Linked DNA regions of Macaca mulatta. The protein of the gene in region 2 purifies or fractionates together with the protein of the main gene of each other region. This does not show direct contact. Links are inferred from orthologs where the notes say so. Each region holds a gene or a part of one and is shown on either strand. Other genes may lie near its edges.

What was found.
Region 1: the proteins of MARCHF6 (region 2) and SQLE purify together in Homo sapiens (affinity purification with western blotting; 4 studies listed by BioGRID and IntAct, with this or other methods). This does not show direct contact. The link is inferred for Macaca mulatta from reciprocal best matches to the Homo sapiens genes MARCHF6 and SQLE.
Region 3: the proteins of MARCHF6 (region 2) and perilipin-2 purify together in Homo sapiens (affinity purification with western blotting; 3 studies listed by BioGRID). This does not show direct contact. The link is inferred for Macaca mulatta from reciprocal best matches to the Homo sapiens genes MARCHF6 and PLIN2.

The regions. Positions count from the first base shown.
Region 1 is NC_133413.1:135,453,835-135,464,278, reverse strand, and holds the end of SQLE (squalene monooxygenase), read right to left. Parts: intron 7,648-10,444; coding exon 7,505-7,647; intron 7,075-7,504; coding exon 6,978-7,074; intron 4,852-6,977; coding exon 4,764-4,851; intron 3,878-4,763; coding exon 3,685-3,877; 3' UTR 3,349-3,684; downstream 1-3,348. Other genes in the region: WASHC5 (WASH complex subunit 5), read left to right, coding at 988-1,044. UniProt on the Homo sapiens protein: Catalyzes the stereospecific oxidation of squalene to (S)-2,3-epoxysqualene, and is considered to be a rate-limiting enzyme in steroid biosynthesis.
Region 2 is NC_133411.1:11,495,868-11,507,093, reverse strand, and holds the start of MARCHF6 (E3 ubiquitin-protein ligase MARCHF6), read right to left. Parts: upstream 6,292-11,226; 5' UTR 6,285-6,291; coding exon 6,266-6,284; intron 6,066-6,265; exon of another isoform or gene 5,512-6,065; intron 1-5,511. UniProt on the Homo sapiens protein: Endoplasmic reticulum membrane-associated E3 ubiquitin ligase that plays a critical role in mitigating endoplasmic reticulum stress, the regulation of cholesterol and lipid homeostasis, and ferroptosis.
Region 3 is NC_133420.1:80,070,924-80,081,367, reverse strand, and holds part of perilipin-2, read right to left. Parts: intron 9,583-10,444; coding exon 9,500-9,582; intron 7,247-9,499; coding exon 6,961-7,246; intron 5,929-6,960; coding exon 5,747-5,928; intron 4,213-5,746; coding exon 4,078-4,212; intron 2,393-4,077; coding exon 2,102-2,392; coding exon of another isoform or gene 1,991-2,101; exon of another isoform or gene 1,508-1,990; intron 1-1,507. UniProt on the Homo sapiens protein: Structural component of lipid droplets, which is required for the formation and maintenance of lipid storage droplets.

The DNA.
Region 1 (10,444 bases), on a different chromosome or scaffold from region 2:
CTGGAGTGCAGTGGCGAGATCTCGTCTCATTGCAACCTCCACCTCCCTGGTTCAAGCAATTATTCTGCCTCAGCCTCCTGAGTAGCTGAGATTATAGGCATGTGCCACCATGCCCGGCTAATTTTTTTATTTTCACTAGAGATGGGGTTTCTCCACGCTGGTCAGGTTGGTCTTGAACTCCTGACCTCGTGATCTGCCTACCTCAGCCTCCCAAAGTGCCGGGATTACAGGCATGAGCCACCACACCCAGCCTAGGTTTTAAGCCCCGCATGTATTAGGTATTTATACTAATGCTCTCCCTCCCCTCGCCCCCCACCCCCTGTAAAATTAATTTTTATAGTCTTCTGCATTTGCAAAATTTCCTCTCATTAGCAGGCGATACCTTTTTGATCAGAAAAAAAAATTAAACACTGCTTCTAAAAAATACTCATCTCCAGCACTTGGAGATCACCAACCTCTACATTCTACCCAACTCAGCCCAATTTATTCTTCTCAGGGCTTTGCCTAAGAACAGTTCAGGAAGGTATGCCTCTGAGGCCTTCCGGCTCTTCCCCTTCTGGCCTTGGTTTCTCATTCTCATTCCTGCCCTCCTCTACTTCTCCATTCCTGTCACTTGCCAGCCATCCTGGTTTTCCTTTGTTGGTCATCAGTTAATAAAGTGTGTTAGGTGACCTGAGTACTTGTCAGTACTTCCCAGAGGCATGAACATTCCTCGCAGATCAAGGTGCCTTTAAGAGCCAAGGAGCTCACGTTTGGAGGCGGGAGAGCTGTACTGCGTCCCCTCAAATGTTAGCAGTGCCAAGAAATGAGACTGTCGTCCAGAGGGCACCAGAAACAGAAAGGGGCTGTTTCAAGGCGTTGTCCGCCCATGGGAGTCTCCTCTTCCGTTATTGACCTTGCTCCAAGGATACCTTCTCTTTTTTGCGTGCAAATTTTCAATTTATTCAACTATAACACCATGAATAACTTAATTCTTTAATTTTTCAGGTTGCTGAAGCACATGTGCCTAATTTCATTTTTGATGAGTTCAGAACAGTGCTGTAACTGTTTTTTCCTACTTCTTCAATGGAAGGATTGTCCTTAGATCTTCCCATCATCACTAAAATGAATTTGAAAATGAAAAGAAACTCAGTTGTTCATATAACTGCATTTTTTGCTCTCCATTATGGGAAACTTAAGACGTTCTGAGTAAGATATATCTCATGGCATTAGTTAATGTAACTGATAGTGTTTAAATCATGGTATTACATGCAATTTATATCATGTAAAAGCAGAACACATTTTTGTACTGCCTCTCATAAATGCCGACTGTAACTGTTATGTATAAATCCATTTAGTTTTATGTTCTAAAGAACTATTTGTGCAACTCCAGATTTTCAGTAAAATAGTATTGCCAGTACCCAAAGTCGTCTCTCCTTATGATTCAAAAATTATATATTCACCCTGTAAAAAACCCTGTTTGGAAGGTAAGAGATGACTCTGCTCGATATATTAGTTCACCCCCAACAAGCTGGCAGGCACATGGTGATAGCCAGACGAGTAGCAAATGGAGTGGCCACACAATGTGTGTCATGTACCATGGAAGTTTCTTGGTGTCTCACCATCCTCTTCCAATCCCAGATGCCCTGGGGGTCCACAGCATTCCTTCTGTAGGACTCTTAACAAAGCTGCTCCTTCCAGTATCTTCCTCAGCAACCTAAGTCCTGTCCCAAGTCCCCATAACTATGTCATTATCCGCAGTCCTTTTTGGTAATAGCCTTGCCGTAAGCTTAACTCCCTCGAAATCCTAAATCATTTCTGCATGAAAATTACCCTGAAAAGGAAGCTGCCTGCTAGTCTGTTATCACACTGATATGAAGGAATATGGGTGGGGACACAGAGCCACACCGTATCACTGCCATCCTACTGTGGCAACTTGAACATCAACAACTTAGATGAGAGCAAGAACGATGTTTCCACCCTGAATCTCTATGGTTATGTCCTCCTCTGGAAAGGAAGGAACAAACCAAACCAAACCAAACCCAGAAGCCAAAATCTGTTTGACAGTCATTTTGCTAGTGGTGGGGGAAGATGCATTGATTTGTAGTCAGGAGGCAAAGTTTGAGTCCTGGTTCTGCCACAAGCTACACCTTGTCCCAAGCCAGCCCATTGGCATCATCTGTAAAATTAGGACTAAAGGATTTCTCAGGTTCCTTCAGTTTTCTCATTTTATGATGTTATTTCTTTTGTCTGAAGGCCTCAAATTCTGATATTGAAGGGAAGACTTGATAGGCTTTGATTATTTCACTATCATAGTAGAAAGGATTTTCAAGGAGTCTCAATGGAGAACAAGGGTAGCCTCTAATCCTGGGCATGAGGGCATCGAGGCCAGGGCAGAATTTTAAGTGAACTGTTGCTTGGTATGTAGGGAGCTTGGAAGTCTCACCACCTGCAAAGATTGTGTGTGGGAACATCTATATCTCAAAGATACCTTGTTCTTTTTCATTTGTAATCTTGTTAACAATAACCACATGAAGTGAGATCTTTAGTTCTCTGAAAAGAAAGCTAACTGCTAAAAAGGCCAGATCTGGGAAAGTGAGTTTTTAACCAGAAAATAGAAGTTTAGGGTCAGTTAGATGGGAATCTTATGAAACCACGCAAATGGGTCCACCATATACTCTGCTAAAACAAGGCTTGCTAGTGATTTGGCCAGTATTTTTCTCAACTGAAAGAACTTAAAAATTGAAATTTTTATTGTAAAAGCTTTATAAGTTATTTTAGCCCTGTTAGAATCTCAAGTAGTAACTTAATTTGCCAGGTTATATTTTACTGCTCTTTCAGAAGTAACAATTTACTTTCATGATATTTGGAGATTTACTGAACTTTTATGATACCCTTTGAACGTCCATAGTCTCTTCAAATTTACTGTAGATAAACCCAGTCAATTCTAATGGATTTTAAGGTATTATACTGGGTATTACAAGTGCTTATTTGTTCACTGTTTCTTGATGTCATTCTGGCCTGGTTTATAAATGTTATACAGTGGAACTTATAAAGCCCTTGATTGTCCTTCCTGTCAGAATCTGATATTTTTAGAGAACTCAGCAAAGAACCTTTCAGTTCGAATCTGAGTCACAGCCCCAAAATAATATAAATAAGTAATTTTTTTTAAAGAAAATAACCTTATCAAATTGTTTCACTAGAGAGATGAGGAAATCAAGGTGAAGACATTAAGGCAACAACTTCCCCAGTTATTTAATAGAACAGGTTTCCCTCTGCACTTTTCATCCCACTTTGGTTTTTTTTTTTTTTTTTTCATTATCATGAAGCTATGTAAATGAGCCCACAACAAGAAACAAAAAGACATGAAAGTTCATTCTTCATTTTATTTTCATGTCCCAACAACTCATCTCAAATACTAAATTCAAAAGAAAAACTGTAGTTCTCCTCAGTATTAGCACTAATTTATGGTAAACAATCATTTCTTTTAAATATCTAACTTGTTTTACCCTTCATTTTGCAAATTAAAGCATGTATTTAAATATTTATATACAAAAAACTTCAAAAACAAATTAATCCAAATCTGGGTCCAAGAGTTTCCACTTTAGAAGTGGTATGGTACTATGCTATACACCTCCTCTTCCAGAAGTCTCTTAGGACTTGGTAAGTTCCAAATATTCATTCACCAATCGTTCCCCTTTAAGCTTAATGAACCATATACTTCATTTCTGAGTAAATGAGAGGAAATATTATAGAACACGCTTTGTACAAAACAGCACCACTACTGAGAAGAGCTCGAGGTTTTGTAATCCAAGGTTCCGACTTAAAGCAAAAATATATGGCATAGACTGCAACAGCAAAGAAATGTCCAATTAAAACCAGAGGGTTAGGAGACAATCTGTAATAGAAAAAAAATACATATTGGTAAGACTCAGAAACTAAAATTTACTCCAAACATTCCAATTACATATAATCTGTAAAGCCCAACAAACAGCCTACGTTTTTTCACCCAAGCACCATCATTCTGTATCAAACATTCTGTATTTTAGAGGACTTCACAAACATGTCTGCATGTTAAGTTTGATGGCAGGAGCAAACTCCCCTGCCCTTTTTTTTAAAAATATATAAGAAAAAATACTTAGACTATATCCCTTTCAGAGAAGCTAGTAACTCCTGTAACTCTAGTTTACATAAGTCATATATTTTTGGCTGTTTTGTTTACTCATCCTGAGATACCATGCTAAAATACCTAGATGGCCTGGTCTGTTGGGATGTAGGGCTTTTAAAAATACCAGTATTAACATTCAGATTATAGACTAATGAGAAATGACTCAAAGGATCACTTTGCAGATGAGAAATAACTCGAAAGATTTCACTTTGTAGACTTTCCAGGAATAGCTCCACATATGTCTGTATGTTCAAAACTAATATGGGGTTGTATAAGTCCCTGTACTTCAATGAAACTAATTTCTCAATTAAAATTTCTCAATTATTCCTGGCTCCCAGAGACCAGAACATATGGATAAATCCATAGGCAAAAAACAAGCTTCTATTTTAATCAAGGGTTACAGCTTCCTCTACCACCACCTTAAACTGCTGTTCCCAGAAAGAAAACAGCACTAAATATTGCCTTTCTTCATTTCTTTGGGCCACCTTCTCATTCGGATACTAATAGATAAAAAAATATCAAAATGTGTAAGGAAGAAAGATTTGCAGTAATTCATCAACTGAACAGTCCTAAGAAAATCTGGCAGATTTGTATCCTCTGTGCCATCACAACTTACACAGAAAGCAGCCCAACAGGACCCGCAACACATTCACCACCAAGTTTGAAATAAAGGAAACAGGCTTTTCTTAGTTGATGCAGGGAATCTAAAATAAAATTGTAAAAATAATCAAATATGTGTACACACTTATGTAGGATCCTAATGATATATCAGAAAAAATGAGAACAAACGCTACATCTTGCAGATAATTTTTAAATATCTAGTCCTAGAATTTCAACTACCAGGATTTCTTTTAAATTCCATAATCAGCATTATGGAGAGTAATACAAATATGAATAAACTTCTTTCTGTTAGTAAATAATTACTAATATTTAGGTCTTGGAAGAGTTGTTTAAAAGGTACTTCCTTGATTTTGCTGTTAATTCATTAAGTGATGCAAAATACTTTGGAAGCTCTGTTTAACACAATTCTAGAAACCAGATTCCCAGTCTCTAAGATGCCCAACCAGTATCTCTAAGAAGTAAATTATCAAGTGAAAAGAAGAGCTGTGAGTAGCGATAAATAGTAATTCCTTATATCTATAAAGTTTTTATACCTTTCAAAGTAACTCATAAAACCCTCACAATATCGTATAATCAATTGATAACCTTTTTAACCATTTAGAATCAATGTTCTGTTCAGGTATGCCTAGATTTTTCTTTACAACAGATTTTTAAAAAGTAAAGGATGCAACAGGTAAACTTTTGCTCCAATAAAGGTCTTTCCTCCTCCAATCTTGTAACTTTTAAAAAATGTTTTGTTGGTAGATTCAAATTCATAATGTAAGAACTCAAGAAGTCAGAAAAGCTTAGAAAGAAGAGCTGAGAAAAACTCTAAATTTAGTTCTTTTTATTTGCCCAAAACTCTAAACTTAGTTCTTTTCTTTTTATTTGCCCCAAACTCTAAACTTAGTTACTTTCATTTGCCCAACCAGCCATTTTAACTTCTATGCCAATTTAGCAAGAGAAATTTGTTTGGAAAAATCACAACCAGTGAGACTGGTGGTTTTGTGGGGGTTTTTTTGGTGGTGGTTCTTTTTTTCTTAGGAAGAGTTAATGGTTATAGAAGCTACAGAAAGCATTTTTATACTGTACCATCTTTTGTAATTATAACCACAGCACTTACCACTAGGGCCTTGTATGATCTATACAAATAGCTATGCTGCAGATATACTAGAGTAATGGCATTTGAGTCAATATTTATTCTTGAAAACTGAAAAGCCTAGTTTCATTAACCTACTATTAAACTGATGTGTACACTGCTGTGGTGAGGAGGTGGCACAGTTGCCTTTTCTCCTCCATTTCTTTTAATTTTTTGTTTGTTCATTTTAGAAGATGGAGTCTCACTCTGTTGCCCAGGCTGAGTGCAGTGGCACTTCATATAGCTCCCTGTATTTAGCTCACTGTATATAGCTCACTGTAGCCTTAAACTCCTGGCCCTAAGTGATCCTCCCACCCTGCCTCCCAAATAGCTGGGACTACAGGCACACGCCACCATGCCTTGCTAATCTTTTATTTTTTGTAGAGATGGGGTCTTGCTTTATTGTCCAGGTTGGTGTGAAACTCCTGGCTTTAAGCGATCCTCCTGCCTTGGCCTCCTAAAGTGCTGGGATTACAGGCATGAATCATCTCGCCTGGCCTCTTTTCCTCCATTTCTAACACTGCTTCTGCTAAGTTGTGTTTTCTATAATATATACATTGACCATGACCTCTCTATAATATGGAAACAGAAACAAAAGCACCAAAATAGTCCAAATAAGTAAAGGGTGAACGCATTGTTACTTGTGCTTTTTAACAGGGACAAGATTAACAGCTCGTATTCATTTTATAAAATACTACGTTAAAAAGAAATTGAAACTAGTGTTAGGAAGAAAAAGACTATTGCCTTTTAATACATGGCCAAAAACACCTTCCATCACAATCTTGTGTGTGTGGGGACATGAATGATCTAGTCTGCACCAGAGGAATTCAAAATAATGAATATGTTACTGAGGCAATACTATTAATGTTGTCTAAGGAAATTCCACTGCCTTCCAAACTAAAACTAAAGTTTCCCTTCCAAACTAAAACTAAAACTGTTGCTCAAAATGGAATTTTTTTAAAAACTACCAACTTGGGAGTTAGCAAACTCAGGTAACATCTTTATTTCTGGACAAATCACTAACTTTTTTATTCCTTTCCTATGCTAAAAATCTGCAATTGAGAAATACTCACTAAAAAGTGCTACACTTACCATCTGTGGCAGAAAATAATTCATAAAGAGCCTGAGCAAGAATATTCACGACAAAGGAATGAGATGCTTTTCTTTCCCAGTAAAATGATTTTTTGGCCTAAAAAAGAAATAGCTCATTTATTATATGGCAAGGATAAAAAAGCACAAACTGATGTTTATAATCCCCTCAAACTGACATTTATCCTTCTAAGGACTATCTGCAAGTAATGTTGCCTTATGTTTATCATTTACCAAAAAAAAAAAAAAAATCACCTTCAGAGCAATGGGTTATATGACACTGAAGCTAAATTTACAGCCACCATGAGCTAAGTGGCCCATAGCAATCCAGTGTTACATAATATTCAAATTTAGAAATTCTCTATGATTCGCAGGTTGCATGTCAGGTTCTTCAAGCCTAAGCAAGATGCCTAAGAGCTATTATAAAGCTCAGGTTCCTTAGTACAGATCTCCCCATCAGAGCCCCACTGCTCTTAACCCTCAGAAATAAATCCATTTTGAGACATTTTTGTCAAAATAATTGATCTTACCTCAAAAATAGCTGCATCATCATAAAGGTCAGGGATGCCCTTTAGCAGTTTTCTCCATAGTTTTATATCTTTAAAAGCAACAGTCATTCCTCCACCAGTAAGTGGATGCCTCATATTGTATGCGTCTCCCAAAAGAAGAACACCTATGAAGAGAGGTAATGAAGATTTTATCTTAGAGCATCACTTGAGACAAAAAGAAAGACAACTCAATGTATAAAGATTACTGATGTAAGCTACTATTAAGAAAAATGTGAAAATACATGGAAACAAATCATGATTAAAATTTGCTGAGGCAAAAATTCAAGAGTTGTTTGAATCAATATTGGGTACCTAATAGGTGGCCAGGCACTAGGGATACAGTAATAACAAGAGTGTGGTCTCTGCCCTCATGAAACTCATATACACACCTAATGACAAGTCCAACAATGTCAATACATTTATAAGGCTGCCTTAAAATTAAAATATGAAGAAAATAAAAGGAATCTACAGGTATCCAGGCCATCTACAGGTATCCAGGCATAAAAAGCAAGTCCTCTGGCGATCATCCTCCTCCCACACAGGAACACTAAAACGAACAACTGTCCACAAAGGAAAGCACCTTCATAAGAACCAAAAATCAGCTTGGGTACCAGCTTGGCCAGTGGGACAGAGCACCAAGGGGGTTCCTGGGATCCCTGATTCCAGGTCTGGGCACGTGGACAGCATTTTTGGATCCATCCTGGGTGACAGGGGAGCCCATTGTCCTGAAGGGAGAGACCCAGGACTAGCGGCATTCACCACCAGCTGACTGAAGATCCCTGGAGCCTTGAGTGAACACCAGACGCAGCCAGGCAGTACCCACTGCAGGCCTGGGGCAGTGGTGGCTAAGGGGAGAGGCTCCTGCTTGAGGAAAGGAGAGGGAAGAGTGGGAAGGAATATGTCTCGAGGTTTGGGTGCCAGCTCAGCTACAGTAGAATAGAGCACCAAGTAGATTCCTAAGGTTCCCAACTCCAGGCCCTGGCTCCTAGACGGCATTTCTGGACCAGTCCTGGGTCCCCAGGAGCTCACTGCCCTTAAGGGAAAGGCACAAGCCTGGCTGGATTTGTACTAACTGTAGAGCTCTTGAGTCTTGAGGGAACATCAGCGGTGACCAGGCAGTCATCGCCACATGCCTGGCGCAATACCCAGTGTTGTACTGGCTTCAGGTCTGACTCGGCACAGGCCAGTGGTGGTGGCCACAGGCATACTTGTGTCACCCCTCCCCCCACCAGTTCCAAGCAGCTCAGCACAAAAGGACAGACTCTGTGTTTGAGGGAAAATAAGGGAAGAGAACCAAGAGTTCTTTTCCTGGTAATCCAGGGAATTCTCCCAGATATCACCCAAGACCACGAAGGCAGTACCTCTACGAGTCCGCAAGGGTCACAATGTTAATGGACTTGGGGTGCCCCCTAATGCAGATACGACTGCTATGTCCAAAGACTTAGATCACAACACTCACTTCCCTTTGAAAACTTAGAAAGCCTTCCCAAGAAGGATGGGTACAAACAAGCCCAGACTCCGAAGACCACAATAAATACCTAACTTCTCAATGCCCAGACATTGACGAACATCCACAGGCATCAAGACCATCCAGGAAAACATAAACTCACTAAATTAACTCTGATAAATAAGGCACCAGTGACCAATCCTAGAGTAACAGAGATGTGAGCTTTTAGAGAATTCAAAATAGTTGTTTTGAAGAAGCTCAACAAAATTCAAGACAACACAGAGAAGGAACTCAGAATGCTATCAGATAAATTTAACGAAACAACTGAAATTAAAAAGAAGCAGAAATTCTGGAGATAAAAAATTCAATTAACATACTGAAGAACACGGCAGAATCTCAACAGCAGAACTGATCAAGCAGACGAAAGAATTAGTAAGCTTGAAAACAGGCTATTTGAAAATACACAGAGGAGACAAAAGAAAAAAGAATAATCAAGAATGAGGCACACCTACAAGATCTAGAAAATAGCTTCAAAAGAGCAAATCTAAGTTCTTGGCCTTTAAAAGGAGGTAGAAAGATCAGGGTAGAAAGTTTATTCGAAGAAAAAATAACAGAGAACTTCCCAAATCTGGAGAAAGATACCAATATTTAAGCACAAGGCTACAGAACACCAAGCAAGGATTGGTGATTGATTTAATTCAAACAAGACTAGCTCAAGCCATTTAATAACCAAACTCCCAAAGGTCAAGGATAAAAAAAAAGATCCTAAAAGCAGCAAGAGAAAGGAAACAACAAACAACGGAGCTCTAGAGCAAAAGATCCTCCCACCCTGCCTCCCAAATAGCTGGGACTACAGGCACACGCCACCATGCCTTGCTCATCTTTTAATTTTTTGTAGAGATGGGCTCTTGCTTTATTGTCCAGGTTGGTGTGAAACTCCTGGCTTAGTATGTCTGGCAGTACATAGTATCATTGTGCTTTTGTATGTTTCCTATGGAAACATACAGTATGTCTGGCAGCAGACTTAGTGGAAATCTGACAGGCCAGGAGTGAGGTGCAAGACACACTGAAAGTGCTGAAGGAAAAGAACTTTTATCCTAGAATAGTATATCCAGAGAAAATATCCTTCAAACATGAAGAAGAAATAGAGACTTTCCCAGACAAACAAAAGTCGAGGGACTTAATCAACACCAGACCTTTCCCACAAGAAATGCTGAAGTGAGTTATTCAATATGAAAGAAAAGGACATTAACGAGCAGTAAGCAATTACATGAAGGTACAAAACTCACAAAAGTTAAAAAGCAAGGGGGATAAAGTTAAAGTGTAGAGTTTTTATTAGTTTTCTCTGCTTGTTTGTAGAATCAGTTGTCATCAGTTTAAAATAATGGGTTATAAGATATGATCTGCAAGTTTCACGGTAATTTCAAATCAAAAGCCTACAAGAGATAGGCAAAAAAATTAAAAGCAAAAAATTA
Region 2 (11,226 bases):
TGAGCTGAGATCGTGCCACTGTACTATAGCCTGGGCAACAAGAGCAAAACTCCATCCCCCCCTCAAAAAAAAAAACCACCACACATACAACTTTTGACTCTCCAAAAACTACTAATGGCCTACTGGTGACCAGAAGCCTTACCATAACATAATACAACATAAACAGTCAATTAATACATATTTTGTATTACATTTTTAAAATTTTTTTATTTTTTTGAGATGGAGTCTTGCTCTGTTGCCCAGGCTAGAATGCAATGGTGTGATCTGGGCTCACTGCAAGCTCCGCCTCCCAGGTTCACACCATTCTCCTGTCTCAGCCTCCCAAGTAGCTGGGATTACAGGAACCCGCCACCACACCTAGTTAATTTTTTGTATTTTTAGTAAAGACAGGGTTTCGCCATGTTGTCCAGGCTGGTCTTGGACTCCTGACCTCAGGTGATCTGCCTGCCTAGGCCTCCCAAAGTGCTGGGATTACAGGCGCGAGCCTCCGTGCCCGGCCTCTGTATTACATCATACCAGGTATTATGAGTACTCTAGAGATGAGTTAGAGTACAGATCTGTGAACACCACGGTTTGAACTGCATGCATCCACTTATACATGGATTTTTTTCTTCAATAAATACATTGGAAATTTTTTTGGAAATTCGGAACAATTTAAAAAAAAAAACAGATGAACTGTGTAGGAGCAAAAAAAATAAAATTATGCCATGAATGCATAAACTGTATTATATGTATTGCATTATATGCTGTATTCTTACAATATGTACTGTAATATGTATTATATACTGTATTCAATATTATATACTTTATTCTTACAATAAAGCTAGAGAAAAAAATTAAGAAAATCGGAAGGAAGAGAAAATACATTTACAGCACTGTACCATATATTTATCGATACCTGTCTATTTACAAGATAAATCATTCCGAAATGGCCAGCAACCACAGCTACAAACCTCAATTTATGGCACATATGAAACAATTCGACTTTTTCCTCATAATGTCATGCCTTTTTTCAGCTTCCTGGAGCTCTTCCAGTATCACTTAGCGGCACCTCATATGGATCCCATCCTGTTAGTCAAAGTTTAAGGTACTGCACTAAATGCAATGAAAAATACAAGAGAATCCAGAGAATCCATACTTTTTACCATATACAATTTACTGGAGAGATGAATGGCTCATGCAGAGGTGATTAGCCTCACAAGGTGTTTTAAGCAGACAGGATACTGGCAACACTTGAGCTCACCACAACAGCAACAGAAGGTGGCTATGAAATTATTACAGTAGCACAATATGCACTAAGGTTAATTTCATGCAGTTATGATTTAATATTGTATCTAAGTTTCTTTACATCTCCCAACTGTGAACAGTGCCATGTGCAGTCTCCATTACATGTTTGTATGTGTAAGTTTTGATAAATTTTAACATTTCATGACAGATTTGTATATACTTTGATACTGAGTAAAACAGACTAGTATCTACATATATTTTATGCATTAATGACATAACTTTTTAACTTTCTCACTATTTCTAGACCACACAGTTCATCTACAAGTTTTTTCAAATTGTTGCAAATCTCCAAAATTTTTTCCAATATATTAAAGAAAAAAATCCATGTGTAAGTGGACCCATGTAGTTCAGACCCATGTTGTTCAAGAGTCAACTGTACTTTAAATTATCTCTAGATTACTTAGAATAATTATAACATAAATGTTATGTAGTCATACTGTATTGTTTAGGGAATAATGACAAGAAAAAAAGTCTGTACATGTTCACTACAGATGCAATCATCTATTTTTTTCCAAGTATTTTCCATCTGACATTGGATGAATCCATGGATGCAAAACCCAGATACAGAAGGCTGGCTGCATATCAAGACAATTTATGTCTCACCTCAGCTCAAAACCCTCCCATAGGTCCCTATCTCACTAAAGTAAAAGTCAGTGAAGTCCTACATGCTCATTCCTCATTGGCTCCATGATCTCTCTGACCTCATATTATACTTACTCTTCTCCCAACTCTCACTCCATTACAGCAACACTGCTCTCCTGGTTATTTTTTGAACACTCTAGGCATGCTCCCATCTTAGAGACTTCACACAGGCTATATTCCCTCTGCCTGGAACGCTCTGCCCAGAGTATCTGCAGGGCTAACTCCTTCTCCTTTGCTCCTTCTCAGTGAGGCCTTCCTTTACTGCTATATTTAAAACTGCAACACCTAGTGAGCCAAGATCACGACACTGCACTCCAGCCTGGGTGACAGAGCAAGACTCCGTCTCAAAAAAAAAAAAAAAAAAAAACAAAAACAAAAACCAACAGCAACCCTTGCCCTCATATCCTGGCACTTCTTATTCCCTCCCAATTCACTGTTCTCCACAGCATTTATAACCTTCGAGTTATGCCATATAATTTATTACATGTTTATTTTGTCTTAAGCTAATAACTATAATGTAAGCTCTATGAAAGAAAGGATTTTCTCTATATTGTTCCTTGCCTAGCCCAAATGCATCAAATAGTGCCTGGCTCATAACAGGTCCTCAATAAGCATTTAGCAAATAAATGCATGTACACTTGGTCACAAACATGCCAAAACAGTGAAAGGTGATGTATGGTAAGAAACATGCAGCAGACATCTCTGGAAACAAAGAAGACCATGTGGTTCTAGAAAGAGAGTAACTAGCTGTCTGATTCTGACAACTTTCTATCCTTTTAACTCATTTCTTCCAAATTTAAGTTACCTCAAACCATAATACTCTTTAGCTTCACACTTTTCGAATGAATATGTTCCATAAAGCATAAAGAACAACTGCTTTGGTATTCCATAAAAAAATAACTAAGACTTTGTATTATGTTCTGCTAATACAAACGGTAATTTAGCAAAATAGAAAAAAAAAAAAAGTCAGCTTTATATCACTGAGCCGAAATGTGGGCATTCTATGACAAAATAATATTATCTTTGAGAACTTCACATCAACACTTGCAACATCTATTCCAATATTGTACTGCTTTTCCTTTAAAAAAAAAAAAAAAAAGTATATCCTTGAGCAAGGGATAGATTTTTCTGTGAAACTGAGAAATCTCAAGTGCATTGCAGGATCAGACTCCTAACCCATAAAATGAGGAGGGCAAATGTCTAAGGTCTCCTACAGCTCTGAAGTTTAAAAATGTGCGGATGGATAGCAATTGACATAACACATCTGCACTCACAAATAACATATACACAGTAAGAATGATTCATCCATCCCTGTATCATGAGAATGGATTATGAACCTGTTGATTTTACAAAAATTTAATACTGAAGACACTTAAGAGATCTTTAAAATCTAGCAAACAATTAGTATGAAAGGGCCACGTCAGAACTGAGTATTACTACAAATGCATAACATTCTGAGCACTAGACTATCATATATGGTACCATCAGAGGCAAGCAACATGCTATTTTTAAAAGGGAAGAGCTACACACTATATGCGCATGGTTGGTGTTTTTGTAACATTATTCTTAATCTCTTTGCGTGGAATATTAAAATATATTTTTAAAGGGCAGAGAACCGGCCAGGAACGGTGGCTTATGCCCATAATTCCAGCATTTTGGGAGGCTGAGGCAGGCAGATCACCTGAGGTCAGGAGTTCGAGATCAGTCTGGCCAACATGGCAAAACCCCATCTCTACTAAAAATACAAAAATTAGCAGGGAGAGGTGGCACGCTCCTGTAATCCCAGTTACTCAGGAGTCTGAGACAGAAGAATTGCTTGAACCCAGGAAGTGGAGGTTGCAGTGAGCTGACATCACACCACTGCACTCCAGCCTGGGCGACAGAGCAAGACTCCGTCTCAGAAAACAAAAAAAATAAATAAAAAACAGAACCACAACAGCATTAGTGTTTTCAAAAGTAGGTGATACTGATTTTTTTTCAATTTAGTTTTATGTTTGGCCATATTTTGAATATCTCCTACCAAAAAATAACAGATTTTAAAAACCTAAGTTGCATTTTTTAAAGAAATAATCTATAATAACTGATTTCGCAAATAGAACATTTATTAGTTTTTTGGCATCTTCACTCTATTATTTTTAATCCTCTATAACCCTCCCTTTTCCTTTAAGTGTTATTTCAACTTAAATTTTATCGTAAAAATGTCAGAAGACTTCCAAATTGGAATTTTGCAAAAGCAGGCATGAGAATACAGCACTAAAATTCACTTGCATTTCATGACTACTAATTTCATAAAATAAAGCAAAATAAAATTTTCGCCAAATTATAAAAATGATCCATCCTATAGAGGGAGTGACAAAAATAAATTCCAACATTGGACATTTAGTATCCACTTATAAATAAATATCTAATTTAAGTGCAGAGTCTGACAGACATGAGCTTGAATCGTGCCTCTGCCATTTACTACCTGTATAATCTTGGACAAGTTACTTAATCATACTAACCATCAGTTCCCTCATCTGTAAAATGAAAATGCCGCCTACTTAACGATGTTGACAGAATTAAATGAAATGTATATAAAGTGTTTAGTAAAGCATATTCTACCCGTTGAGTCTTCAGCACATGTTATTTTAACAGAGAACAGTGTTCAACAAATAAATGTCATGTATACCTTATCCTGATTATAATTTTACAAGAGAAAAAATATATTTAAGCACTAGAAGTACAATGAAAATATTTCATGATTCCATACGTGCTTCGAGCGCAATTCCTGAATTACCATAGGTTACTGTCACACCATAAAAGTATGCAAGTAGCAATGCCCAGGCCAAAAGAATGAGAATTGAATATAATACGTCCGTACTTATCCTGTGATAAATGCATGCCTTAGTAGATTTATTCATTAAAACTTGAATCTGAAAGGATGTGAAACCTACATAGATGGAAATTTTACACAAAGGACCACCTGTCAAAAAGAAATAGTTCCCAACCTTCAGCAGTTTCGCTTTACTATTTTTTCCAAAGGCGTCTCCAGTGGCGATTAGCTACACTCAGTGTATATAATAAACATACTGTGGCATAATGAAAGGGAAATTATTTGCAATCAGAATGCCTACATTCAAATCTGTCTCTTACTACCTGTGTAAAGCTTCGACAAGCTATTAAAACAACGAAGCCTACATTTCAACATCTATAAAAGATAATACCTACCTATTCCACAGGCCTTTTGGGAAGATCAAACGCGAATGTACAGCAAGTGCCACATGTTATAGTTGAGGTTTTTATTAAAGGCAAGACTTCTTTTAAAAAAATAAGTCGTTATCAACTCATTACAGAGATATTATCAAACTTTTTTCACTCATTACTGCACCCCATGACGGCGTCTGATAATTCATTTTCATTTAAAATTGCCAAAATCACAACCTATAAGGTTGAAAGACGCTTATACCCCCCATAAATATACCTAAAGTAGAAAAGCATTTGCACCGATAACCGGAACATCAAAAAAGGCAGAATAATTTAGTAATTTCCTCTATAAACTCACCACTCATTTAAAAACACAGCTGGTTAAAAATAATTTACTACCTTCAGTGGGTAAGAAAATGCGCTTGAAGAGACATAAGGTGTGGACGTTTACATCTTAGGTATTCATTGTAGAAGGGTCAGTTTGTTCAAAGTAACCGTATCCAACAGGCAATCGCAAAACAAAACCAAGAGAACCCTGCTTATAGGTGTCAAGGATTTAAAACCAAATGGATCGCAACAAAAGAGCCCCCCCTCCGTTTAGTAAACAGATTCTCGAGCTGCAGGCTAGCCGAGGACCGGGCTTTTCAATAGGGGTCAGCTCACTCCACTCGGCAGTCACCTGGCGGGGTATTTTTCGCGAAGTTTCAAAGTCAACAAAGAAGTTCTGTGGCGAGGGGGTAGGGCCTGGCGAGCAATAGGCAGAAGGACGTAAAGAAAGACAAAACCCAGTGGGGGAAGGGTGCGGAAAACGCCCCCGGACGGCAGCGGCAGCGACAGCGGCCCCCTCTTCTGGGCCAGCGCGCGACGGCGGGGACGAGGGAGGCCACGCCGGCCCGGAGCAGCCACGACGCCCCAGGACCCGGGCCCGGCCCGGCAGGGTCCCCGCCCCCCTCGGCGGCGCGGGCGGGAAACGGCTGGGGGCGCGCCGAGGGTCACCTTCCGCTCCCCGGACCAGAGGCCCCGCGGGTGGGCAAACGGCCCAGGCGCCCGCCCTGCCGCGCTCCAGCCGCCCACCTCGAGCGCCGCGGACCTGGCCGGGGCACGAACCCGGGAGCCGACGCAAGGGCTCGGGCGCCGCGCGTCGCCGACTTACCTTCCTCCGCGGTGTCCATCTTGTCTGGGGGGGTGGCGGTGACGCAGCCACGAGCTCCCGCGGCCGGGCGGGGAAAGAGGGCGGGGAGGAGGAGGAGGGAGCCGGGCCCGGGCAGGTGCGTGCGCTCAGGTGCGAGAGAGGAAGCGAGAGGAAGGAGAGGGGAGAGGGAGAGGGAGAGAGGCTGACAGAAAGCGAACCACAAGGGAGGGGGAGGGGCGGGAACACCTAGGGGCGAGGCCTGGGCGGGGCGCCGAGGCGGAAGGGGCGGGAGCTCCCCAACGACAGACAGTGTCACTTCCGGCGGCCGCGGTGCGCACGCTCGGTTGTAGGCTAAGGCGGGGAAGGACCTTTTTCGGGGGTGCGGTGAATCACCGCGTGCTCTGGGCCACCTGGGGTAGTCGCCGAGAATGCGCCGGACAGCGGGGCCGAAACCTAATCAGTAGCTGAGCTTTGGTGACCGCTTCTGGAGGGGCGCAGAGCAGTGGGAAGAGGCCGCGAGAACCTAGCGCCCGCCCCAGCCGACGTGCGAGACAAAGGCTACGGCGCGGGGCTCTTCGGGAGGCCGGGAGGTGCCTGTGACAATGCGAGTCTGCGCTCCACGCTCCCGCACCGCGATGCCGAGGCCGAATGGCTAGAGTGGGCCCAGGCGTCAGCATTTCTGTTTGGCACCCGGGCCGTTGTGGTGCACGTTTTGAGGAACTACTAAAGCCTCACTGTGATGAAAAAGGCAAACGCTGACTTCACCAAAATTACTCCCAGGGAGACTTCTGCATTTGGCTGGAAGGACTATTTGAGTAAACCGCTGAGGCTGGGGGTTGAAACATAATCCTCCTTTAAGGGAGATCTGTTCGGATACCGAGTTAGGGACGCTTGCCTGCGCAGAGCTAAGGGAAGAACGGTCCTAGGCCAAGCTCTGTCCCCATCAGCACGTCACCCTCCCTCACTGTAATCCTTGACTGTTTCTCTAAATGAAGAATTATTTAGAGAATACAAATTAGAAGGGCCGCCAAGTCAGAATTGCCTGAGCGGGAGCAGTCTTTCCAGCCTCGAAAAATGTTTAAACAATATGCAGATGACCTAGCACAAATAAAGAATGCTAGCAACCGCTGTTATGTGTGAGTGGTGAAATTGGGAGGGCCCCTCCCGCAATCTTCATCAAATAGAATAAGGTTTAGAATAAAAATAATGAAATACAGTTTTTCAAAAAGAGCAGCGCTTGACTAATGTTTACTGATGTCACTCATGTTACTCAAGGCAGGAAAGAACTCTACATAATAGGGACCCACTGATTTCAGGGGCTGGCCCTGATGATTAAGCAGACAGCCATTCTTTAAATTTGTTTTTTGTTGTTGTTTGCTTATGTTTTTTTTTTCTTTTTTTGAGAAGAGGTCTCGCATCGTCACCCAGGCAGGAATGCAGTGGTGCGATAGTGGCTCACTGCAGTCTCACTATGTTGACCAGTATGATTTCGAACTCCTGTCTTCAAGCGATCTTTACGCCTTGGCCTCCTGAAGTGCTGGGGTTACAGACGTGTGCCGCTATGCCCTGCCTAAATATGTTTATATATACTACCTCCCAAGAAACAATTTGAAGACAGCTCTTTCCCCAGCTCCCCTCCTTCCGATCCAACTCCAACAAGAGCTAACCCTCCCTGGAAGACCTGTAGCAGAACACTTGTTGGCCTGCTGAGACTAGGGGAAAAGATCAGGACGATCAGATCTATCAGATGTTATATGGCATCAGGGCGAAGGATTCTGAAAGAAAGACTGAGGTTTGCTGGAGGAAGTACTGGTAGTGCCAAGGGCAGGTACGTGACCCTCAGAGCTGCAGAGCCAGGTTAGGATGAAGGGAATGTGTGTGTATGGGGGGCGTGGAGGGAGCCTTCCTTTTGTCTTTTTTTTTTTTTTTTTTTTTTTTTTTTTGAGGCGGAGTCTCGCTCTGTCGCCCAGGCTGGAGTGCAGTGGCCGGATCTCAGCTCACTGCAAGCTCCGCCTCCCGGGTTTACACCATTCTCCTGCCTCAGCCTCCTGAGTAGCTGGGACTACAGGCGCCCACCACCTCGCCCGGCTAGTTTTTTGTATTTTTAGTAGAGACGGGGTTTCACCGTGTTAGCCAGGATGGTCTCGATCTCCTGACCTCGTGATCCGCCCATCTCGGCCTCCCAAAGTGCTGGGATTACAGGCTTGAGCCACCGCGCCCGGCCCCTTTTGTCTTTACATGCCTTCCCTTGTGATGTTCAAAGGAAAGTTAACCTTTTAACTAATTCTCCCTTCTGCATAGTAATTCCTTCTGGAATTGCCCTAACCTTTTCGCATTCAGACTTAGGCATTAAATATAGGAGTAATAAATCAACATTTGTTGAGTCCCCACTGTGAGTCAGGCACTAGTTCTCACAACAGCCCTTCCAATACATGAATCAGTCACACCTCTCTTGGTTGCCAGTGACAGGAACTCAACTGCTAGGCAGAAGGGAGGAAGGTACTGTTGATATGGACAGACTCCAAGAAGGGGAGGGACTGCTGGGACTACTGGAAGGAGAATGCCTCTCTGCCCCCATGCCTCAGCTCTGCCTCTCTCTCTGCACGTTGGCTTCATACTGTTGGACCAGCTTCCTCCATATGTCTGGAAACAAGGCCACTGACAGCTCCCAACATTTCATCTTCTGCCCCATCATCAGATAGGCGAGGTAAGGCTGATGATCTCTAGTCCCAAGTTAAAAATTCTCAGGGAAGGATAGTTCATTGGTCCAGCTAGTTACCTGCCCCTGAATCAAATGATTGTGCCAAAGATCTAGGATCTTTAAGAACATGGACATTGTCATGTTCTTGTAACTGCCATGTTCAGGTAAGAACAATGGACACTACCTTGTGGAAGTGGAGAAAGACCATCTCCCACAAGAAGGGGGAGGACAAAACAATAGATATCTATCAGAATTAGAGTTCAATTAAATTACTAGGTACTGATAGAACTCTAAAGCAATAGTTACCAAATTTGAGGGTGTCTCCATCATTGACACCTTTAACAATCTGATAAAATCTATGGATTTTGTTCTCAGAAAAAATTGGTTAAACACAGAACATTGCCTGCAATCTCAGGGGGGTATATAGATGCCTTGAACTCCATGCATGAATCCTAGGTTAAAAGACCCTCGCATGTAAAGTATTGAGAAAAGTGGTGATGTTCTCTTCCCTTTCTAAGACTATGGCAGACTGGGTTTTTTAGACCAACAGTTGGAAATTCTATATAAAAATATAGAAAACAGATTCTTTAAAGCACTGAAGGCCTGACAAAAATAGTAAGGTAACTACCAGACCAAAATCTTTTTTTGTTGTTTTTGTTTTTGTTTTGAGATGGAGTCTCCCTCACTCTGCTGCCCAGGCTGGAGTGGTGTGATCTCTGCTCACTACAACTTCTGCCTCCTGGGTTCAAGCAATTCTCTAGCCTCGGCCTCCTGAGTGGCTGGGATTACAGGCATGTGCCACCACACCTGACTAATTTTTGTATTTTTTGTGGAGACAGGGTTTCACCGTGTTGGCCAGACTGCTCTCAAACTCCTGACTTCAAGTGATCCATCCGCCTCAGCCTCTCAAAGTGCTGGGATTACAGGCATGAGCCACCATACCTGGCCTACCGGGCCAAAATCTAAGGACAGGAGAGAATACCAAAAAGTAAATGGAACATGAAGGCTGCTTTTGTTTTGCTGAACCAGACAAACTTGAACTTCTGTTTGACAGTTTCTAGCAGCAAGAAGGACGGCTGTCCAAGTCCAGAGCCTGCCCAAGGTAAGGCATCTGTTAAGGGACCTTCCACCAGGAGCCTCGCCCAAGACCCGCACTGCTGCTATCTCGGAATGGTGAACCAAGTAAATCTGACTTCTCCTGGAAACTTCTAGGAAACTTATCTGAGCCTTATTTTTTAAAAGTTTCTGAAAATTTGTACCCGTGAATCAGCCCTGGCATAGACTGTACCCCAAATCCATACCCTAGTGATCAAATAATCTTAAGCAGTGAATTTAGTTTGAAGTAATCTTGGACTGCTGGGATCCCCTAAGCACCTGGCAAAAGCAAACACCAATTCTCTGTGGAAGAATGTACCTGAGTGCTACTCATTGTCCCTAGAAATGTATTTGTGGAGATTCTTTGACAGATAGATGTGTGTGTGTTGGTGTATATACAATACACACACACACTTCACATTTAGCACAAGAACTAACACGCAACAGGTAGCAGAAACCATCCACAAAACCTCAGGTATGGAAGTTAGTAAACACAGATTATAAAGCTACTACACTATGACTATTTAAGAAAGAGTAATGAAACAATTTTATTTTAAAATCTCAATTTTTAAACTGGAATTACATCTTTTGCCACCATTTAAACATAAAATATAAAATTGTATTCATCAAGAAATGAGGATATGCAATGCATAATTTTTTAGGTTGCATGCAAGCAAAATCTTCAGAGAACTCTGCACTTTTCCATGGGCGAGGGCATGGCTGTCCTTAGGCATGTGAGAGTCTGTGGCCTGTGGCTCCCCAATGGCAGAGGCCTCATTTCATGTACCGATGTATCCCTGAGGCCAATACAGGGCTTAACACATAGTAGGGTGTCACTAAATTTTGGCTGAATGAGTAACTATGATTTTCCAGGAGATACTTTATGTCACTGAAATAGCAACATGTGTGTGAATGCTCTTCTTAGGAAAAGACAAATTCATACCATAGCTGAAAAATCAATCCAGTAACAACCATACGTTAGGGTTAGTGTGTCTATGCTCTTACATCAGGATTTCTTGGTTATAATGAATTCATTTTCAGTACTTCATGCAGATATGCTCAACAGTGATATACACCAAGTTAAATAATCAAACTAGAGCACCATGTGTTTCTTATACAATATTCACATGAAAATTACTTACAATTTAACCCAGATTGTCACTAAAATGAAGGCCTTGAAGACCAG
Region 3 (10,444 bases), on a different chromosome or scaffold from region 2:
TTTTTTTTTTTTGTATTTTTTTAGTGGAGACGGGGTTTCACCGTGTTCGCCAGGATGGTCTCGATCTCCTGACCTCGTGATCCGCCCGTCTCGGCCTCCCAAAGTGCTGGGATTACAGGCTTGAGCCACCGCGCCCGGCCTTGTTCTTTTCTTTTTTTGAGACAGTCTCACTCTGTCGCTCAGGTTGGAGTGCAATGGCAAGATCTTGGCTCACGGCAGCCTCCACCTCCCAGACGCAGGGGATTCTCCTTCCCCAGCCTCCCAAGTAGCTGGGATTATAGGCACACACCACCAGGCCAGGCTAATTTTTGTATTTTTTGTAGAGACAGAGTTTCACGTTGTTGGTCAGGCTGGTGTTAAACCCCTAACCTCAGGTGATCTGCCTGTCTCGGCCTCCCAAAGTGCTGGGATTACAGGTGTGAGCCACAGTGCCGGGCCTATTTCACAAGTTCTGAGACTCACTTTTAAAAACTAGTTTGACATATTGCATATGCATGATAAGGAGATTCAGGATAGTTCCTAAATAACCAATGTTGAATGGACTAGAAGTCTGGATACTATAGGCAGGAGGTAAGAAGAACCTTTGTCGGCCGGGCGCAGTGGCTCACGCCTGTGTCAAAAAAAAAAAAAGAACCTTTGTCTACAGGGGGCTTAAAGTCTTTTTACTTCTAATTAGTCTCACATGGTCTTCTATATGTACCTCCCCAACAACAACTGAGGTTAGTGACTTTCTCCCAAAATAACAACACAGTAAGTAAAGTCCAGCTGAGGCTGGACACTGAAGAATCTCTCTTTAGGACTCACACTTTAACTGGTTCCCTGGCAAGAAATGCCCAGTGACTTTACATGACACTGATTTAAATAATCACTTGCTTCCTTTCAGCTCTGATTCCTTTTCAGTAAGGTAGTCAGACATGATTAGGACATTTTACTGGTTTAAAAACAGGCCAGGCGCGGTGGCTCAAGCCTGTAATCCCAGCACTTTGGGAGGCCAAGGCGGGCGGATCACGAGGTCAGGAGATCGAGACCATCCTGGCTGACATGGTGAAACCCCGTCTCTACTAAAAAATACAAAAAACTAGCCGGGCGAGGTGGCGGGCGCCTGCAGTCCCAGCTACTCAGGAGGCTGAGGCAGGAGAATGGCGTAAACCCGGGAGGCGGAGCTTGCAGTGAGCCGAGATCCGGCCACCGCACACCAGCCTGGGCAACAGAGCGAGACTCCGTCTCAAAAACAAACAAACAAACCAACCCACTCACAGGGGTCCAGTAAGTTGGCAAACAAAGAGGGCCAACTGTCACCTAGTAAAATTTGAGTATGCACATCAGCTTTTAGTTTTTTTTTAATCTGTTATCAAGCATCCCATTTTTAACATTAGCCTTCCAATGTTCTCACTCTGCCAAATTCCCCAACAGGCCAACTGAAATTCATGTATGTATAATAACTCTGTCATGCAGGTTAAGCAGCTCTACGAAAGCAACACACAAAGCATATGGAACAAACAGCATGTAACTTGTCTATCCTGCAGTGAATTTTATTGAATTCAAACGTAGTATTATTCCTATTTGAGAAATAAAAAGCTAAAATCAAGTTTTACAAGTAATCATCATGAGATAAACCAGTGAAGAGGACTTTTCAGATCATACCAGAGCTGACACCAGTTTCTACCCCAGCCCACATGAAGATGTTTTTATTCAATACAAACAGGAACAGAGGCAACACAGTGGCCACAGAATGAGAACGTAAGTGCACTTGAATTTTTTCTGAGTTCTGGCTATAGGCTCTGACAAGCCTAGCATTCTTTTCTTACCAGGTGAACAGAATCATCTGCTAATGCCAGAAACTTTAAAGCTCTTAATTCAGCTAGAAACAACTATAATTGAGGGCCTTTTTACTAGCTTCTTGCTTCCCAATTTAGGGTTGCCTAGCAAGTTAATTTCAACATAACAGGTCATCTGCCTGGCCACATCATGCACTAGTGCAGGGGCAGGTTTAATGAGTTTTGTGCTCAGATCGCTGGGTCTCCTGGCTGCTCTTGTCCATCTCTGCACCTTGGTCCTGAGCATTCTGAGACTCAGTCAGCTGAGGATAAAAGGGACCTACCAGCCAGTTGAGGGGCGTGTTGTTAACAAGATAATCCATCACATCATCTAAAGATTCCTTCATTTTCTGCAGCTGCCCCTTGCTAGAAGTGAGGAGGCTGTCAGACACTTCCTTAAAGGAGGCAGCACTGCGGAACACTGAGTAGATGTCGCCTGCCATCACCCCCATGTGCTTGGCCTGATCTTGGATGTTCTGCGGTACACCTTGGATGTTGGACAGCAGGTTGTGGCACGTGGTCTGGAGCTGCTGAGTCAGGTTGCGGGCAATTTCAAGAGTACGTGACTCAATGTGCTAAAAATAAAACTTAAAATTAGCAGTGGATCCAGCAGTGCTATGTTAAGTTAGTTCAATGACAGTAAGCTGGTTATGTGGCCACCACATATATGGATTCTTCGGCTTTTAAAAATCCTCATTACAATGCCGAGTGCAGCAGTATTATTCACATTTCATAGATGTGGATATAAGCTTAGAGTTTAAGTAGATGGCTTCAGTTAACAACTGGAAAACAGCTGGGTAGGGATTCGAACTAGTGCCTGAGTCTCCAAAGTTCATCATCTTAAACTGAAGAAACATATTAGGTAGGGGAGACCCAAAAGAATGGAAATGTACTTCATTCTAGTAATGTAATATATATATTCCCTCCTCAAATAAGATGACAAGACATGCTCCTTGCAGGAGATGGAGACCATCTTGGCCAAAATGGTGAAACACTGTTTACTGACTTCAGAGCTTTTGGGAAGCAAAGAACCACTTTCTAGGACATTTCCTAGAATATCCTAGAGGATATTTCTTTCTGTTTTTTTTTTTTTTTTTTTCTTTTTTTCTTTTTGAGACAGGGTCTCAGTCTGTCTCCCAGGCTGGAAGGCAGTGACACAATCATGGCTCACTGCAGCCCTGACCTCTTGGCTTAGGTGATCCACCCACCTCAGCCTCCCAAGCAACTAGGACTACAGGTGCACACCACCACGCCCTGCTAATTTTTGCATTTTTTGTAGAGATGGGGGTTTCACAGTTGCCCAGGCTGGTCCTGAATTCCTGGGCTCAAGTGATCTGCCTGCCTTGGCCTCCCAAAGTGCTGAGATTACAGGTGTGAGCCATTGCACCCAGCCAAGATGCTATGTCTTCTCTCCAGAACCTTAGTCACCTTATTGCCCTTTCACTTAGTTTATTCACCCATTAGTTCTCAGTTTACCATTCATCTCTTCCAGGAAGCAATGTGACTCACCTACCCCTACTCCAAGGCTGCCTGAGATAGTCTTCCCATATATTTTCTTTTGTTTTTTGAGACAGAGTCTTGCTCTGTTGCCCAGGCTGGAGGGCAGTGGTGTGATCTCGGCTCACTGCAACGTCTGACTCCTGGGTTCAAGCGATTATCCTGCCTCAGCCGCCCGAGTAGCTGGGACTACAGGCACGTGCCACCATGCCTGGCTCATTTTTTGTATTTTTAGTAGAGACAGGGTTTCACCATGTTGGCCAGGATGGTCTCGATTTCCTGACCTCATGATCTGCCCACCTCGGCCTCCCAAAGCGTTGGGATTACAGGCGTGAGCCACCGCGCGCGGCCAATAGTGCCTGTATTGATGCTGTTAAAAAACAACCGGACTTGGCTACTCTGAGCGTACTGCCTATGGGATAGCCCTCTTCTGCAAGGAGCATTGGAAAAAAAAAAAAAGGCACAATAGGACAGCATGGCTGGCTGTATCCCCTGTTATTCTGTACCCATTATGAGGGCAAGGCCTATGTTTCTCATTTAGTTGTATCTCACTTGGGGCATATGTATACTCATAGGTTGTTAGATAAAATTATTCCCTGCCTAGTTTTGCTTTTCTGCCACATAACTAGCCACCTATGCACATGGTATCGTTCAACCTTTTGATACAGAAGAGTATTCTAAGACATAGTATGGAAGAATTGAAATGAAAAGTCTGACAAGAACTTCTTCAGAAATCAGCGAATGACTGTCCCAGTCATCTTACCTCAGCACAGTGGGACTCATCAGTATCATCGTATCCAATGCTCCTTTTCCACTCCACCCATGAGAGGTAGAGCTTATCCTGAGCATCCTGAATTTTCTGATTGGCACTATGCACATTCTTCCTGGCAAATTCAATCTAGACACATTGAAACAAGACAAAGGAACACGCAAGTCAGATATTCATGTTAGCCCATTTGCAGATGTATGATGTAAATCAGGCAATATAAAAACTAAGAATTGGCCGGGCGCGGTGGCTCAAGCCTGTAATCCCAGCACTTTGGGAGGCCGAGGCGGGCGGATCACGAGGTCAGGAGATCGAGACCATCCTGACTAACACGGTGAAACCCTGTCTCTACTTAAAAAAAAATACAAAAAACTAGCCAGGCGAGGTGGCAGGCGCCTGTAGTCCCAGCTACTCGGGGGGCTGAGGCAGGAGAATGGCATAAACCCGGGAGGCGGAGCTTGCAGTAAGCTGAGATCTGGCCACTGCGCTCCAGCCTGGGCGATAGAGTGAGACTCCGTCTCAAAAAAAAAAAAAAAAAAAAAAAAACTAAGAATTTCCTGGAGTTGAATGAGATCTATTCCTGCTATCATTGTTATTTATTATCAGTATGTGTAAATTAACCAAGCAGTAATAGCTCTTTACTGCCTCTAACTGTTAAATCACTGACTCCAAATTTACCTCCAGTTTAGCACAGGTAAAGTAACGAAAAAAAAAATTTTTTTTTTTTTTTTTTTTGAGAGAGTCTCACTCCATCACCCAGACTGAAGTGCAGTGGAGTGATCACAGCTCCCTGAACCTCCGTCTCCTGGGTTCAAGCAATTGTCCTGCCTCAGCCTCCTGAGTAGCTGGGATTACAGGCATATGCCACCATGCCCACCTAATTTTTGTATTTTTAGTAGAGATAGGGTTTCACCATGTTTGCCAGGCTGGTCTCGAACTCCTGACCTCAAGTGATCCGCCTACCTTGCCCTCCTAAAGTGCTGGGATTATAGGCATGAGCCACCACGCCCAGCCAGCAACTAAAATTTAATGTGCACATGAGTAAAGGATGTTAGAATTACAAAACAGAAAGGAATTTGACCTTCCTCTTCCCTGTTGCCAACCACCTATTTCCCCTTCAAGGAAGAAATGGTTTTCTTATGGCAGTACAGAATGGTACATACTGTTCTCTAACTTGGCAACCTTTAATGGCTACAGTAGTCTATTGTGATATATCAATTTAATTAGTCCTGTTAGTGGATGTCCATTGTTATAGTCTCTTGCAACTTTAAACAAATAAACACATCCGAAAGATAAAAAGTAAAAAACTGCTCGAAGAGTGGGTATGTTTGTAACTTTCCTAAAACTGTCTCTTGAATCAGTCCCTTAGAGCAAGAGCTGTGTAAGTGTGGTTCTTTTTCTACACCGTTGCCAACAGCCACATTTCCTGTGTGGCAGGACAAGAGAGATGTTGGTACTTGACCCCTCAGAGCGAGATTAGCATTACTTCATATATTTCAGCTATTTATACTTCCTTTTTCTGTGAGCTGTCTTCATATTCTTTGTCCAGTTTTCTATTGGGTTGTTCAAGTAACAGTGAAATTCTTGGATTTTGTGATTACATTAATTCTTGGTCCTAGAGATAAATGAACCCACTTCAGATACCTTAAAATAAAGTTTTACTCACCAGGTGAACAGTAGAATGGAGCTGAGAAATGGTCTCTTGGCTTTTTTGCTTAGCTTCTTTAACCCTGCTGAGAGCCTGCTGGTAGGCACGGGAGCGAAGCTTGGTAGATAGGGATCCCAGTCTAACATAATAACTTGGCTTCTGAACGACATCAAATCCTTCAACTTTTTTTGCTTCTTTTTCTGAAGTTAGAAATAAGAGATAAAAAAACTTAAGGGATCACAGCGACAACTGATATGGCCTGGACTCAAACCTGGGTCTTGACTTTCTTACTTCTACCCAATCACTTAGCAATCATGTAGTCATTTTTCCAAGACTGCTCATGTCTGCTGCTGGACTTGACTACCCTGAACATATTACTGTATCTGCTACACACTGCATGCATCTACACGTATTTTCCACTAGAGTAAACTGCCCTTTTTTTTTTTGGAAACAGCGTCTTGCTCTGTTGCCCAGCCTGGAGTACAGTGGCGCAATCTTGGCTCACTGCAGCCTCAACCTCCCAGGCTCAACTGATCCTCTCACCTCAGCCTCCCGAGTAGCTGGGAATATAGGAACAAGCCACCACGCCCAGCTAATTTTTGTGTTTTTTAGGGTTTCTTCATGTTGCCCAGGCTAATCTCAAATTCCTGAACTCAAGTGATCTGCCTGTCTCAGCCTCCCAAAGTGCTGGGATTATAGGCATGCACCATTGTGCCCAGCCTACAGTGAACTTGAGCGGCATGATACCTGGCACACATTACCTAATGATGATTCTTTGTAATGAGGATTTTATAAAGCAATCCATTTACAGAAAATATTTTTCAAGGCCAATTTTTGCTAAAGTTTGAAAACTTACTATGTACAATTCAATGTGAACTTTATGATTGCTTTAGGAAGGAAAATCTATAAAGGCAAAAAGATTAGTGGTTGCTCACATCTGTAATCCCAACACTTTGGGAAGTCAAGGCAGGTGGATCATTTGAACCCAGGAGTTCGAGATCAGCCTGTGTAACATAGTGAGATTCCATCTCTATAAAATTAAATTAAATTAAAAAGGATTGACTGCAAACAGGCATGAGGATCTTTTGGGGTAGCAGAAGTATTCTAAAACTGTATTGCGGTGATGCTTGCACAACTGTGTAAATTTAGACTAAAGATAGGAGTGTATGTCAATGAAGCTGTTTAAAAAAGATTTAATATAAAACAGTATTTGAAGATAAAATTCCAGTTACCTAGTTCTTCCTCAGTGAGAGGGAGGTACTGTTCTACCAACAGCTCTGATTTGGTGAGTGCATTTTCTACGCCACTGTTCACGAGCTGCATCATCCGACTCCCCAATACTGTGTTAATGCTGCCACTGACCACAGACTTGGTCTTCTCCACACTGCCAGTCACTGCCCCTTTGGTCTTGTCCATCACCCCTGTGATCGTGCTGGCCACAGAATCCTTGGCCCCAGTCACGGTAGTCGTCACAGCATCTTTTGCCCCAGTCACAGCACCTTTGGCATTGGCAACAATCTATAAGTTGAAAAGCAGATCCCTTGGCTGGTGAGAAACATGAGCACAAGGACATACTCAAGGTCTTAGCTAAGGCAGCACAGGTGAAGAGTTAAAGGAATCTAGTCCTCTCATTCTAGCTTTAGGTCTTGGGCAAGTCACTAAGAGTTGATGAGCCTGAATTTCCCTATCAAGTGTATCTGCCCTACCTGCCAATCCTTGGGAATTGCTGGAGGAGCAAATGAAGTAAACAGATATGAAATCTGTCTGTTTGCCAAGGCTGCAGTGAGCCGTGATTGTGCCACTGCACTCAGCCTGGGTGACAGAGCAAGACCCTGTCTCAAAAAAAAAAAAAAAAAAAGAAGAAAAAAAGAAAGAAAAGAAAAGAGAAAAGAAAAGGTAAGTTATATAGCTTATTTCAAAGTCACATAATTTCAGAAAGGAAACTGAAGATCAAACTAAACCTGGCCCTCAGGGTGTTATTAGTATGCAGTTATTATACATGGCCAGCATGGTGGCTCACGCCTGTAATCCCAGCACTTTGGAAAGCTGAGGCAGTTGGATCACCTGAGGTCAGGAGTTCAAGACCAGCCTGACCAACATGGTGAAACCCTGTCTTTACTAAATACAAAAAATTAGTCGGGCGTGGTGGCACATGCCTATAACCCCAGCTACTTGGGAGACTGAGGCAGAAGAATCGCTTGAACCCATGAGGTGGAGGTTGCAGTGAGCCAAAATTGCACCATTGCACTACAGCCTGGGCAACAAGAGTGAAACTCCATCTCAAAAACAAACAAACAATAAAAAAAAAAATAGCTGGGTGTAGCGGGGCGTGCCTGTGAACCCAGCTACTAGGGATGCTGAAGCAGGACAATTACTTGAAGCCAGGAGGAAGAGGCTGCAGTGAGCCAAACTTGTGTTGGTAACACAAGTCACCAACATTTAAAGAAAATATTCAAAATGGAAAATAGCTCTCACCATTAGCATAGTCTCAAGCAATGTAAGTGAAAAATTTAAAAGATTTGCACAAGCATTCTAAAGGCTATACACTAAACTTATCTATAGTTGTGAACCACATAACATTTTGGTCAGCGATGGACCACATATTCGATGATAGTCCCAAAAGATTATAATGGACTGCCCTATAACAGGTATACCTTTTTTTTTTTTCACTGTACCTTTTCTACGTTTAGATACACAAATACTTATCATTGTGTTATAGTAGTCAATGTAGTCATGCTGTGCAGGTTTGTAGCCTAGAAGCAAGCAACAGGCTATATACCATACAGCCTAGGTATATAGCAGGTTATACCATGAGTCCCTAACCCCCGGGCCATGGACCATTACCAGTCCATTACCAGTCAGAGGCGGTATTAGATTCTCATAGGAGACCTAACCCTAACCCTGTGAACTGTGCATGCGCATGCGTGCAGTTGTCTGCTCCTTATGAGAATCTAATGATAAATATAGTACACTTGAATCATCCCAAAAACACCACCCGCCCCCTGCCGATCCATGGAAAAACTGTCTTCCACGGAACCAGTTCCTGGTGCCAAAAAGCTTGGGGACCACTGGGCTCTACCATTTAGGTTAGTGTGAGTATACTCTGTGATGTTTACACAATGGTAAAATCACCTAATGATGCATTTCTCAAAACATATTCCCATCACTAACTGACAGATGACTGCATTTAGATTATGAAAAGACACAGAGCTATATTTTTCCCTAACTGGTATCCTTTTGTGCCATTCTGTATTCTTAATTTGAAACAAAATTTTAGGACATTATCTGAATCAAAGGATCACCAGGACAGATGAGCCTATCATTTTTGTCAACACTGGCTAGCTATCCCATGTGGATGGTAGTTCCTGGCAGCATTGTACAAGCCAGGTGAGAAAAGTTTATATATATATCAACTCTGCATTTATTTAATACCACAAGAGAATCAGTTACTCTGCATTTATTTAATACCACAAGAGAATCAGTTACTTGAGACAGCAATTTCATCTACAGGAGCAAAGACACAAATTGATAGACACCACACTAAAAGTTTTCTAATCCAAAGGAGGTTAGTTCTTCTCTGCTTCATAGATACAACTTGACAACAGTTCAGGAAGTAAGGAAGCGGCTATTATTTTTCAAACACACATCCAGATCCAGGTTGGGAAAACAAGTTAAGTATTTGCCTATTTGTGGTATGTACAGCTTGTGCTAACAGATAGAACATGAAAACATGTGAAGTGTCAAGCCTCAGCACTTTTGTCCCAAGCTCACCTGAGTTGATGGCTGATTCAGAATAGGCAGTCTCTCCTCAATCCTGTCTAGCCCCTTACAGGCATAGATATTGGCAACTGCAACTAGAATCACAAATGGGAAAATGTTAATGTAGTACTGTAGGTGTAGAATGAACACACATTACCATACCTTATACTTTTAGCCTTATTTAAAAAATGGTAAGAATGGGCCAGGAGCAGTGGCTCACACCTGTAATACCAGCACTTTGGGAGGCTGAGGCGGGCGGATCACAAGGTCAAGAGATCGAGACCATCCTGGCCAATGTGGTGAAACCCCGTCTCCACTAAAAATACAAAAATTAGCTGGGCGTGGTGGCGTGCGCCTGTAGTCCCAGCTACTCGGGAGGCTGAGGCAAGAGAATTGCTTGAACCCGGGAAGCAGAGGTTCCAGTGAGCCGAGATCGTGCCATTGCACTCCAGCCTGGGTGACAAAGCGAGACTCCATCTCAAAAAAAAAAAAAAAAAAAAAAAAAAAGGCAAGAATGTTAATCTTATACAACAGAATGCATTGCCTGGTTTCTCTAGCTCTGACAGAAAGAGGCCTGGCAAGTTGCTGGCAACTCTCTTCTACAGAAAAGGAAATATGGGGGTATGAGGGAGGAGCAGGCAGAGGCAGAGGCAGTGACAGGACAAACAGGAAGCTGGCTCTGAAGCTTCTTCCTCATCAACTGGCCCCTAATGTTAATGCCAAGAGTATCCAGGCTTTCCCTGAACTCTCATTCAGAGAATAAGGTATCTGGAAACTCTCTTAAAGTTGGTATTCCCGAGCCAGTTTAATCCCTACCTACACTTACTTCAGCACATGTCAGTGTATTTGGGGTTCTCACTAGGAAAGAGTATGCTAAGACCACCCTGGATCTCCCTAACAAGGGAGATTTTAGTGTGAGCTTCCCACTAAGAATACCAAGCCAAGTACAAGCACCAA